3 linked regions of the Drosophila melanogaster genome follow. The protein of the gene in region 1 interacts with the protein of each later gene in a pairwise test. Each region holds a gene or a part of one and is shown in the gene's direction. Other genes may lie near its edges. The genes, in order: CG8677, CG13022 and Spx.

Region 1 (5,085 bases):
AATTTGTACATTGCTGATAGACTTGAGACTTGAGTTTTTTTTTTTAAAACTACAGAGTATCGTAGGAAAACCCCCAAAAGATAATAGCCAATTGTTTGACTTGCGTTTTCGCGTACATTCACCCGTGCTTGATTTGTTACTGATTGGAAATCTCTCTTTTGCTTTGTTTGAGCTATGACAAATTTTTCAGATTATATTCTTTTCGATTCGATTTTCACCACAAATAGTCATATTGATGTTTGCGTTTCTTTCTAAGGCTTGCTCGCACTTCTTCCCTCACCCTGTTCTTGGATGACATCAACGTACCGTGCAATAGCGAAACTGGTTAATTAAGCTCGAGATTAAGGCTGCGTTGATAGCTACAGTGCGCTCCCGCCAGATTGACCCCCTTTGTTTCTTGTCATTTTATTTCATCCTTATCGCTCCGCACTTTCATTTGTTCCTTAGTCATCAGCTGTTGCGCATAAACAATTGATTGTGCGCCAATTGTGCGAGTGTTGGTGTCCCGCACAGTGGCCATCAGAATGGAAATACTGCTAAATCGGTCGCTTGTTGGCCACTGACAGTGTACCGAGTTCGGTTCCCAGCCCCCTCCCGAAACGGGAAAGGCATTCCAAAATGTTAGATGAATGCATGCTATTGTAATTGGAACTGCTTGTTTGCATGTTCTAATAAACTACACACACACACGACACGAAAAATGACGCCAATTCACGCTTACCCACAGACACACTAACGATCCCCGTCCACCTTCCCCACAGCAGCTGTTTTCGCCTTATTTACCCGTCTCATTTGTCGATTTTTGTGTCTCAATTGTTTGCCACTTTTCGCTTTGGTGACCTTCCGGGATTTAAGGATTTAAGCACAGATGTCGCTACTTACGTAAAGTCCTGGTTGAAGTTCATTTGATATGTGGTCATTGCTGCTGAAGATTTGTGCTTTGGTGATTGTATTTTTTTTATATAGTTACACTTTCACTGGTCTTTAGATGCTTTTTTTCAGCGATATTCAGTTGCAGAGTCCCGTCGTTTGAGTACACAAGATATTGATCGACGATGGCAGATGAGCAAAGCGAAATGATTTCACTTGATATTGAAAACTAAATTCGACTGTTTTGCGTCGTCTTTGTTGTTTTGCTGCGACTGTTTTTCTCGTTCTATCTATCAACAAATTCCCCCTACACACAACACACACACACATAAATCATCATCATTGGAACTGGGTTCGGGAACTGAACCAGCCGTGTTCACCAAATGCCATATATACCGTTAAATCATTTGTGTAACGGAAAATGTAAAATTGTTATTAAAAATTGAAATGGACAATATATATACATGTATCCGCATATATTTGCATTGGAAAAATCATAAAATTACCTCATATTTCACACAATTACAGTGCATTTAGTGTGTATATGTCAGTTTCATTTCTTTTTATATAAACATTAAAATAGTTTTTTCCAATAAGTATCTACAATTATCTAAGTGTTGTGTCAAATTTTCTATCAAATCGGAACAAAACAGTGGACGTGTTAAGCTTCTTATAAGGTTCTTCTGTCTTAGCAAAATTGTATTTCCCATAATGTATTTCCCTACTTCAACTTGATCTACACTAAAACTTTATACCTTTTGTTCCTAATTTATATTATAACCTATATTGTTCGTCGATTTAATAAATTTTGCATAGCCTATTTAATAGTAAAACAATTTTTAGATTTGTAACATTTAATACACATTTCATAGTCTAGCGCTAACTTAAAAATAAAACTGTCTTAACGCGAATCTGAGTAAGTTATAAATGTATTCGTAGTTTGTAAAAATCGTTTTCATGCATACGCCAAGTATACTAGAAACTAGTTCCCCAGTGCATCGACTGCCAACTCGCTTCAATTACATGGGTGCAATCTGCAGTATTGTCGAAAAGTGACTGCGCGGCCACACTGAAACTCACAACAGAAAATAAAGCATTTTCGCTTGCTTTAAAATAGGATTTTATCCCGTACAAGAGCTGTCTCGCGGCAAGAAATATGCACCCTCGAAGTCTCGCAGTGCCGTGCGACCAGAGAACTTGATCCTTGGACAAATGACTCGTGTTTGCAGTGCCCGTTTTGAGGTTTTGCCAGAGTAGTATACAACACCCGAAAATTTTCGCTGGTTCTCGGGGACGCATGAAAAATGGCGGCGTCCTCAGCTGCGGCTGCGGCGCCCACCAATCCGATCCCGCTTCCGACGGACTCCATATCGGAGGAGTGCAAGGACGACGACGCCCTCACCTCCACGCTGCACACATGCGCCAATGATCCGGACTTTGCGGTCATTTGCGCCTTCCTGCAAAAATTCGGCAAGGACCTGGGTCTTAACCTGCCCAACTTCAAGCATCTGCAGGAGTGGTTGACAAACAACAACGATGGTGAGAGGGTGGGGTGGTGGTATCAAGAGAGCGGGGTGGAAGCAGTTTTTTGCCAAATTAATTTATGTCAGGTTCAATTATCGTGGGGCAAGTGGCGGTGGAAACTACGGATGTAGTGTTTTCGAATAGGTCTGCTCCAGAGATTTAACAATGCTCCGCTCTGGAGAGCGTGCTTGGCTCGTCAGAGAGAAAGAGATTGCTCAATGGCAGAGAGAGCACTGCGATTTGTTTTCATCTCAACACAAGCGCAATATACAAAACAAATCTGGGAGAGACGTAAATATTTCCCACATTTGCTCTGGTCTTCTTATTTGAGAGATAGTAAGAGAGCTACAATTGAACACTAAAAGTTGGTTTTTTTTTTTTAATGTACACCTGCATCTGGAAATATATTAAATATTTAGGGTCACGAGTGGGAGGGAACCTGAAAATATATTTGTTTAAAAAAGTTATAATCATGCTAAGTTTCTACGTTTTGTATGTATTTGCGTGAGCAACAGCAGACACAAAAAGTGTACACTACAACAAACGCGGTTGCATTTATTTCACTTGCCCTCATAATCCACCCACAATCCATTTATATTCCGCTGTCACTTTCTTCCTTTTCGCAGAACTTTTACTAATATTTAATTATAACGAATCTTTGTAGTTCCTGAGCTAAGGGACTTGCACATAAAGCTGCTCCGTAAGACCCGTAAGACGGTTCACGAAAAGAGTTGGGAGTCCGCCCTCAGCAAATTCTGCTTCGGCTACTCGGTGCAAGATGCCTGGGAAATCGAACGTTTCGGTTATAGGAATTCCAGCTTGAAGGTTAAGCTGCGAATATTTCGGGTGAGTAACGAATTTCGTACCACTTGATAAACCGTTCTAAAGGGCGTCTTTCCCGTACAGGAACTTCTCGAAAGTCAGTTTGAACGCAATGCCAAGTTTCGGGCCCACATCCTCACCTTGAATGCCGATACTTTACGCTCTGAGCCAATTGGAAGGGACCGGTTGGGACATGCCTACTGGCTGACTCAGGATGCCCACTGTAATCTGCGGATCTACCAGGAGCATCTAGACGAGGAAATTTGGCAGGTGGTTGCCACGAACAGGGACGAGTTTGTAAATCTCATTTCAAGGCTGCGCGGAAATGAGGTGGTACTTCCTTCGAAGGACATTGGTGAGGCCGATGAGGACACCAGCAGCAGCAACAGTTGTCATCCCAAACCACCGCCCCCCGAACAGAAAGAAGAAGAGGACGATGAGGAAGTTGGAGATGAGCCCGAAAAAACTGTACCCAATCTAAAGATTAAACTCCGCTCTCCCGAGCAAGAGGATCAAAAGTCTAAAAAGGTTAAGGTGTGTATGGATTTAACCAAGGAGCTTTGCATTTTTAGATAAGATTTCATTCTCGGTCTTTCAGCCACTGCTCATTAGCCAGGCCAAACTTTCGAGTAGCGCATCGCCGGCCCCAACCAAAAAACGTTCTATCGAAGACGTAGACAGCAGCCCCACAGCCTCCCAGGAGGAACAGCAGAAGAAGCACCGTCCCACACTGCTTGATACAAAGCGAATCAAAAAGCCAAGTCGCTACGAAAGCACTAAGGATGAAATCGAAGAAGAGTCCGGAGAAGAGGATGAGGAAGAAGAGGACGAGGAGGATTCTGAATTGGATGAGGGTGAGGAAGAGGAAGATGTCGATAGTGCGGCGGCGGATATCGAGGAAGATGACGATGAGGAAGATACTGGAGAGCCTATAGAGGATCCAACGATAGTGGTGCAGGGCCAAGGATCAGGACTTGACTGTGAAGCCATCCCTTATAATTTAATTGGCAACTTTGATTATGAGGATGACTTGGAGATCGGGGAAGCCATTGCAGATCCAATGCTCCATGTGATTGGTCAAGGGTGGGGGACCGACTGTCTCGTGGGGAATGGTAAAAACGAAGCTTCCGTGGAGGAAACGTCAACGCGCACATCGGAACCAAAAGCGACGTTCTTTTTTGGCGAGCCCGGATGTCTCAAGCTAAGTCCCATGAAGCAAACATCAAAACCAGAGGCAAAACGGGGCATTTTTGACAGCTTGAGCGAGGAGAAAACAAATGGTGAAAGCGAAAAGTGTATAGTGAACACACCGCCCCGAAATGGAAGCGAACTCACAAAAACTCTGGGAGATAGTGAAGAAACAGCATCTGCGAGTGCAGCTACATTAGAAGAGACTAACATATGCCAAGAAGCTAACGTAAATAAAATCTCAGATGATCAAATAAAAAAAAAGGAATCCGTACCAGTGGCTAAAAGGAATATACAGGATAGTACAATAAGCGTGATCGAAAAGAATGAGGAAATCTCTAAAGGTCGTACCGAAAGTGAGGCAATTGAAGAAGGAGTGAGGAATAGGACAGAAGTTTCAGTCTTACAAAATAATTCAAATGAAAGTGATAACTCCTCTATTCAGACTCAGGATCAGCATAAAGTTCCAGCTGATCTGAACAATACAAAGAAACCAGTAACAGAAAAATGCGTCCTGGAAAGCGGTACAGTTGAGGATAAACTGGTAATAAATCATCAGCAAATTTCGACAAATGCCTTGGACACTGCATGTGATGAGAAACTTTCGTGTGAAACAGAAAGCCCTGTACCTAACCAACATGATTCCAAAATGAAATCAGAACAGGAAACGGCAACGAGCGC
Region 2 (2,949 bases), on another chromosome or scaffold:
GCCGATCCCTTCGACGATCCATCCTACAGCTTTAGTTTTCGCACTCCGGATCAGTCGCGCAGCGAGGAGAATGATTCCGGGAATAGGATAAGAGGCGAGTTTAGCGAGTATGGTACTTAAGAGTATATTAACTGATTCTATCCCAGGTCTGTACTCCTATTTGGACGACGTGGGCGAGCGGCACAGTGTTCGTTATGCAGCTGGAGCCGGAACCGGATTCGAGATCTCCAACGCTGTGCCGGACAGCCCATCTGTTGTGGCGTACTCCAGTCCTCTGTACACGTCCCATCCCAAAGCACGCGGCAAGATGTCTGTGCAAAGGGGGCCGGCTGGAAGCTATAAGCTGATCGCCTCAGGTTCGGATCACCGACGGGCAGAAAGTCGAGCACCCGATGGCCTGGTGCGAGGAACCTACTCCTTCCTGGACGACAAGGGCGTGCAGCGGACAGTGGAGTATATAGCTGGAGCAGGAATTGGCTACCGGGTGGTGCAAAATCGGATTGGTCCTGGAACCCATAACAATCCCTCTGTGGCTGATTTTCGTTTGACAGATCCAGATTTCCGACTGGCTAATGATTTTGGCAGGGGTGCTGGTGGTGGCTTAGGTCCGAAGGGAGGTGGTGGTGGATCAGGTGGGGGAAGTGTTTCGGTAGGAGCTTCGGGGCCAAGTGGTGGTGCAGGTGGAGCGGGAAGGGGCCGTACTCCAAGCAGACCCGGAGGCAAAGATTACCTAAAGCCGGCTGATGGAGCAAGAGATAGGAATCGTGGAGATGGTGATGCTGGGGCAGCTGATGAAAATCTGGGACACCATGCTGATGACCAAGGGGATGACATTGGGCTTGGCAGCAGCTCCTCTGGTTCCACCAACTTTAATGGCAAAGAAGACAGAAGAGGGTTCCCTGCGGGTAGTCCGCAACGGGGCAGTACTAGATACGATGCCGGAGGTGACAGCTCTCAGAGAGGTGGTTCAGGTAGCTCCACGAGAAACAATGTTAGTGGGTCCCGAAACAGAAACCGATTCGGCGGCGTTGGTGGAGTAAGTGTCTCCTCTGAGCGGGGAGCAGGAAGGGGAGGTGCTGCCGGTGGTGGAAGCAGTCGTCGAGGAGGTGGAGCTGGAGCCTCCAGGGAAGGCGACTCCGGCCTGGGCTACCTGCCGCCCACAGGTGGATCGGGCACCAGTGCCATGAGCGGACCCGGGGACAATTACCACCTCAACGATGACGATGTGGGCAGTTCACTGCCTCCTCTGGTCACCGCCAACCACCGAATTCTAGAGATCGACAGGGATCGGGAGTGGGTGCAGCGACACCGCGACTCCACCGTCATCAAGAACGTGGGTAAATGGTACGTGGGCCTGCCGCCTGGTCAAAGTGTGCGTGCCCATGTCCAGAACATCGACATAATACCCTTGGGCGGAAGGATCGGACTTTCGCCGTCGGAGGCACTGCGTCAGGATGAGATCGCCGAGCTGAATGCCTCAAGGGAGCACTAAGCACCCATTGGATCTGTAGATCTGTAGTTTGTAGTGCGTAGCTCTAAGTGATCAGTGTTGAGTAACCGAAACTGGGTTGACTCCACATGGAAACTAAAACAGTATTTAAAGCGGAATACATTTTTTGCCTGTATCTGTATCTCAAACTGTATCTGTATCTCTAGCGAATAGTTATTTGATATCCGTGGATCCGGGTATAAGCAGGTTAATCTGCACATTGCGGTTTCCTTGAATCCACATATAACCCCATGACTTAGCATGCTCGGAGTTTAGTTGTTTCTGAGACTTGAACATGATGTTGGTGCTTTTCATTGCTTCGCTGATAGTTTCCTGTGCTCAAGGAGCGCAAGTGTATATGCAGTTCAATGGACAAGGATACTCCTACAACACGGATGGCGATAGATTGGATAGGAGTGTCGTTAAGCCTAGTTTTGGGGCATCTTCTCTGGATTCCTTTGGTCCGCTGAACTTTGTGCATCAATCTCTGAGGACAAGACAGAATCCACTTTCCCGGATTTCCTACAATACACAGGATAACCTAGCAGTGGCAACATCTTCGCTGAGTGCGGGCTACCAATTAGCATCGACCAACCACCTGAAGCACCGGCAAAGCCAGCAAAACTTTGATTTCAGCACCGACCAGATGTCGCATGCCCAGCACACCGATGAGGCGGGAAATGTTTTGGGCAAGTACTCCTACTACGATGAGGCTGGCTACCATGAGCTGAGCTACAAGGCGGGCGCCGGCATCGGATTCGTGGTCATGGGTGGCAATTTGGCCAAGGCCACCACCGCCGCTGAACCGCACTCGGAAATCGAAATCGGAAACGGAATCCAAACAAATGCCTTGACTAGCCTGCAAGAGTTGCATAAATATCGTGGCTACACGTAAATAAAATATATTAGCCAAAACTATTGCTCGTTCTACTTGGGTGTTTTGCGTTATTTACTGGAAGTCTTTGGAGATCTGACAGTGTCACCTGTCGTGTTTGAGACCTACGTGATCGGGGATCTGAACTGTAAACATATGTCAAAGAATGAATGACTTGTAAAACAGAGTTCATTCAAAGAAAAGAGTGCAGCTTTGCTTGGTTATAGAATGCAAGCAATAGTCAAATATTATCGAGAGCTCTGGATTTCATAACTTCTACGCGGCACAAAATTATCTTTGGATCGGAAGACATTATATTAACATTTATAAATAATGGTGAAATTAAAAAAAAAATGTACGTAAAAATAGATGTCCAAAAATGTATGAATTCTTTTTGTAATTGTAAATCTTGGAATATAATATTATGCTAAATAGGACGGTAGAAAGAATATTTTTCTTCATTTTAAAAAGAAACATAACTTGAGTTCCATAAAAGCGGTCATCGCATTAATAGAAAATTTTCTTGCCTGGACATAATTTTTAAACGTTTTACAATAAAAATGTTTGCATAAAGTAGATAAGGGTA
Region 3 (4,202 bases), on another chromosome or scaffold:
ATTGAAATGATGGCAAATGATATGGCGCAAGGCGGTGGGCAGTGGGTGGGTGTTGGGTGGTTGGTGGTCGGTCTGTGAACGGGGGACTGTGTCAACGGCGGTGCTGATTACAGAATAGAATATAGTAGAATATAGAATATATATATAATGTACACATACGCCCCGTGGGGCCTCTCATTAGAATGGCAAAATGTGCACAGTAGTTAATTATGCTTCCTTGGGTTTTTGCAGGAAAACACAGACCTTGTTCTCTACATCGGATAAACATTCTGAGTAAACATATAGTACACATGTCTCAATGGGTGTAATGTTTATAAACTCGAAGTTGACATAGCGAAGTTTATAGTGAGCTCTTCAACTTTTTCCTGTTACCGTTAAAGGTTTTAGACACGAAAATGGCCAGATTGCTAAGAGTATTTGGTAGTATATAGTATAGGGATCGAATAAGGCACATTATAAATGCGTGCTCACGTTTTTTTATTATGGCCGTTTATAATTCCAATTTGCCATTGACGTGGGTTGGCGAAAGGGGTTGCGGGGCGGGGGGTGCTGCCATAGAGAAAGGGTTCGTGGGAAGGGGAAGGTGGGCAGCCTGCAAGCTGCGAAATTAGGGCATCAAAGGCCACCTGACCAATCGAAGGGTATACACACACACATACTCGCACTTATATATATATACATGCGTATATACTTTCAAGCACACACTCTCACTGCAACTGGCGCATGTGTGTGTGTGTGTGTGCGTGCGGCTTGTTTACTGCCAGCACTTGACCTTAAAAAAATAAAAATGTAATTAATTGCTGGCCAGGTATGTAAATGCAGGTGAAAACAAACATTGTGTTGTATTTGTTGTGCCACACAACATACACACACACACACTCGAGCTGCACACTTTGTTGTTATCGAATTTTTGCACAGCGCCAGCCAGCAAACACGAAAAGTTCTCTATCTCATCATTTGCATTTGATTTTTTAATTGACCACCAAGTGTGGCAAAAAAAAACGATATAAAATTCAACACACATTCACACACACCGCACACACGCACACCACACACACGCAAATATGTAAATAAAAACATTAAAGACGTGCTCCGATCGGTTCTTGTTGGAATGACGACGATGGTGATGATGATGCCCCGTTTCCAATTGGAAACGGTTCAACCTTTTGAACCAAGTGTGCGTGGGGGGGTTGGGGGGCGTGTCCGGCTGGTTGGGCCGATAATGGTGCACATTCCGCCACCGATTTTCACCCAATTCGATCCGGATTCGGATTGGGATGGCTCTGTGCTTACTGTAAATGGTATTCCTTCCACGGAGCCAATGGCGAAGCACCGGTCGCCTGCATTGCAAGCGCCGCTCAAAATCTGATGACAATTCATAATTTACACACAGTTGATTATCACATCACAGCGCACGGATATTGGGGTCTTGGTTCTTTGGTTTCTAGCACGAATTTTCCTTGCTTCTTGTAACAAACGACAACAAAGTGACATTACATAAAAATTAGAGTTGGGTTCTTGGCCAGCGCGGCCAATCGAACTATCGATATTAGGGATGGCACGGCATGGGAGGCGAAATATCGCCTGAGTAATTTAAATACGGTTACTCCAATTAACCGAAAAACTGTTTATCATTTAATTAAAATATTATTATTAAAATATTTCATTTTATTTTCAAAAAATAGAGGTGAATATTTTAACCTATTGAAATTATATTTAATTATTCTGCTTCGTCTATATTTAGTATTTTTTCTAATATCCGTTCGATTTGATTCGATTTCGATATCAATTTCGATTGCCAATAAAAACGAAATCGTGGAATATATATCGATTCATGGTATCGATAGGCTGTTTCGATATTCAGGGTTGTGTTGCGAGCATTTTTGCATGTTGAAAACGCCGAAAATTAGTTTTTGGTTTTGTTTATAAAAATAGCTCCGAAATGGCGGCAGGTCCAATTGCTGAACGCAACCAAGGTGGGTTTGACCTCCACTCCACATTTGCACCACTTGGGAGACGCTTTAACCCGCCTTTTCCGTTCCTTCCACAGATGCCACCATCTATGCCGGCGGTCTTGACGACAAGGTGTCGGAAACGCTGCTTTGGGAGCTGTTTGTCCAGGCAGGACCAGTGGGTAAGTCCCGGACACACATGTATAGTGCCTAGCAGCTCCCTAATCGTCATGCTTGCAGTGAACGTACACATGCCCAAGGATCGTGTCACCCAAATGCACCAGGGCTATGGATTCGTCGAGTTCCTCAGCGAGGAAGACGCCGACTATGGAATAAAGATCATGAACATGATCAAGCTTTACGGCAAGCCCATTCGCGTGAACAAGGCGTCGGCGCATCAGAAGAACCTGGACGTCGGCGCCAACATCTTCATTGGCAACCTAGACGTGGAAGTGGACGAGAAGCTGCTGTACGATACGTTCTCCGCCTTCGGCGTTATACTGCAGACGCCGAAGATCATGCGAGACCCAGAGACGGGCAAGTCTAAGAGCTTTGCGTTCATCAACTTTGCCAGCTTCGAGGCCAGCGATGCGGCCATGGACGCCATGAACGGCCAGTACCTGTGCAACCGTCCCATTTCCGTGTCCTATGCCTTCAAGAAGGATCACAAGGGCGAGCGTCACGGTTCGGCTGCGGAGCGCCTGTTGGCCGCCCAGAATCCATCGACCCATGCAGACCGGCCGCATCAATTGTTCGCCGATGCACCGGTGCAAACCATGATGCCCCAGATGCCGGGCCAGATCCCGGCCCAGATGCCGGGCCAGATGATGCCGCCACCCATGATGGCGCCGCCGCCGCCGGTGGTGCCCGTTTCGAATAACAATATGGGCATGCTAGCACCGCCGCCGCCCGTTCCCCAGCCTGCACCGTTCCCAGCTACGATACCGCCGCCTCCGTTGCCACCGATGACCGGCGGACAGCCGCCGCTGCCGCCAGCAATGGGCATTCCGCCGCCGCCTCGCATGATGCAACCAAATGCATGGGCACCGCCCGGCATGCCTGCTCCTCCGCCCAGACCACCGCCCACCAACTGGCGTCCGCCGCCCGTGCCCTTCCCACCCACGCCCTACGCACGGCCCTATCAACCCGACGGCTACCAGTACTAAGTCTAGCGTGTAGTGTATACCAATTTGGACGAGACGAGAAATAAACATCAATAGGATTCATCAATGAAGCCTGCTCTGGGATATGTTAAGATTTCCATTCTTCTTTCTAATATGCATTTAACAACCGGGAAACCACTGGGAGACATTTAGATCATCATTGTATTTCCATTTAGTAGTCGCAATACAATCTTCGAATTCTTACAAGACGAAATTAAATAACTTTGAATAGAATTTTGAAATGAACGAAATGATTTGATATAAATTGACTCTCGATTCTTGATTTTTTTTTAAACGGAACTATTTTCAATAAACATAAAACGTTTACATTAACAAGTCTGTAAGTTTAATTTGAATGGAACATACGAAGAAAGCGATAATTTTTTTTTGTAATTTAACTAAGTATTTTTAAAGGGCTCCCTCTAATTTAATGTCCAATCCTTTGAAGTTATGTATAGAAACTAGCTTGTAGTTCAAAATAAACTGAGGAATGATTTTCCATTTATTGAAATGAAACTAGGATTCTTTTTTAGCATTCCCAAAATGATGCCGTCCCGCTTTTTTTCGAAACACGTTTGTTTTTTGGTCTTGTAATTTGTTTAGCATAAATTTATTAATATGGGAAACATACAAGTACAGTATTTACAATAGTTTTGACTACTATTCATTTTTTACTCTTCGTCTATTGAATTCTTGCCTAAGCGATTTTGGTTTAGTCCCACTGTGCTAACTTCCATTTCGTTTGGTAAAATAACTTAACTTTAGCTTTACGTTTAAATGGTTATATTTAACGTTATTTTCTCCTTCGTCTCTTTGCTTTTGCTTTTGTTTTTTTTTTTTTTGGTTAAGCAAGACAAACAACAACAAAAAAAAAACTGTGAGGCATATAGTAATAGTAATAGTAATAGTAATAGTTTTAATCAATAACGATGTACAAGCGAATCGTTACGCATCAATTTTCTCGCATTTATTTAAATTTCTTTTGGTTTTCGATTTGTTTCTTTCTTTTTTGTTTACCTTAAAAAAGATGTATATATAAAAAAAAATAATAACATAAAAACATTCTGAACTGGTTTGGTTTTTTTGT

Evidence for each region.
Region 2: the proteins of CG8677 (region 1) and CG13022 interact in a two-hybrid assay, tested with the Drosophila melanogaster proteins (one large-scale study listed by BioGRID).
Region 3: the proteins of CG8677 (region 1) and Spx interact in a two-hybrid assay, tested with the Drosophila melanogaster proteins (one large-scale study listed by BioGRID).

Annotation. Positions count from the first base shown.
Region 1 is NT_033779.5:21,219,378-21,224,462, forward strand, and holds the start of CG8677 (uncharacterized protein), read left to right. Parts: upstream 1-1,934; 5' UTR 1,935-2,174; coding exon 2,175-2,409; intron 2,410-3,058; coding exon 3,059-3,240; intron 3,241-3,300; coding exon 3,301-3,750; intron 3,751-3,814; coding exon 3,815-5,085. Other genes in the region: Atg18b (Autophagy-related 18b), read right to left, coding at 883-920.
Region 2 is NT_037436.4:16,937,781-16,940,729, reverse strand, and holds CG13022 (uncharacterized protein), read left to right. Parts: upstream 1-1,777; 5' UTR 1,778-1,787; coding exon 1,788-2,384; 3' UTR 2,385-2,400; downstream 2,401-2,949. Other genes in the region: Cpr73D (cuticular protein 73D), read left to right, coding at 1-94, 147-1,492.
Region 3 is NC_004354.4:6,253,969-6,258,170, forward strand, and holds Spx (spliceosomal protein on the X), read left to right. Parts: upstream 1-1,853; 5' UTR 1,854-1,942; coding exon 1,943-1,976; intron 1,977-2,050; coding exon 2,051-2,134; intron 2,135-2,192; coding exon 2,193-3,118; 3' UTR 3,119-3,628; downstream 3,629-4,202. Other genes in the region: Rbcn-3A (Rabconnectin-3A), read right to left, coding at 1,294-1,380.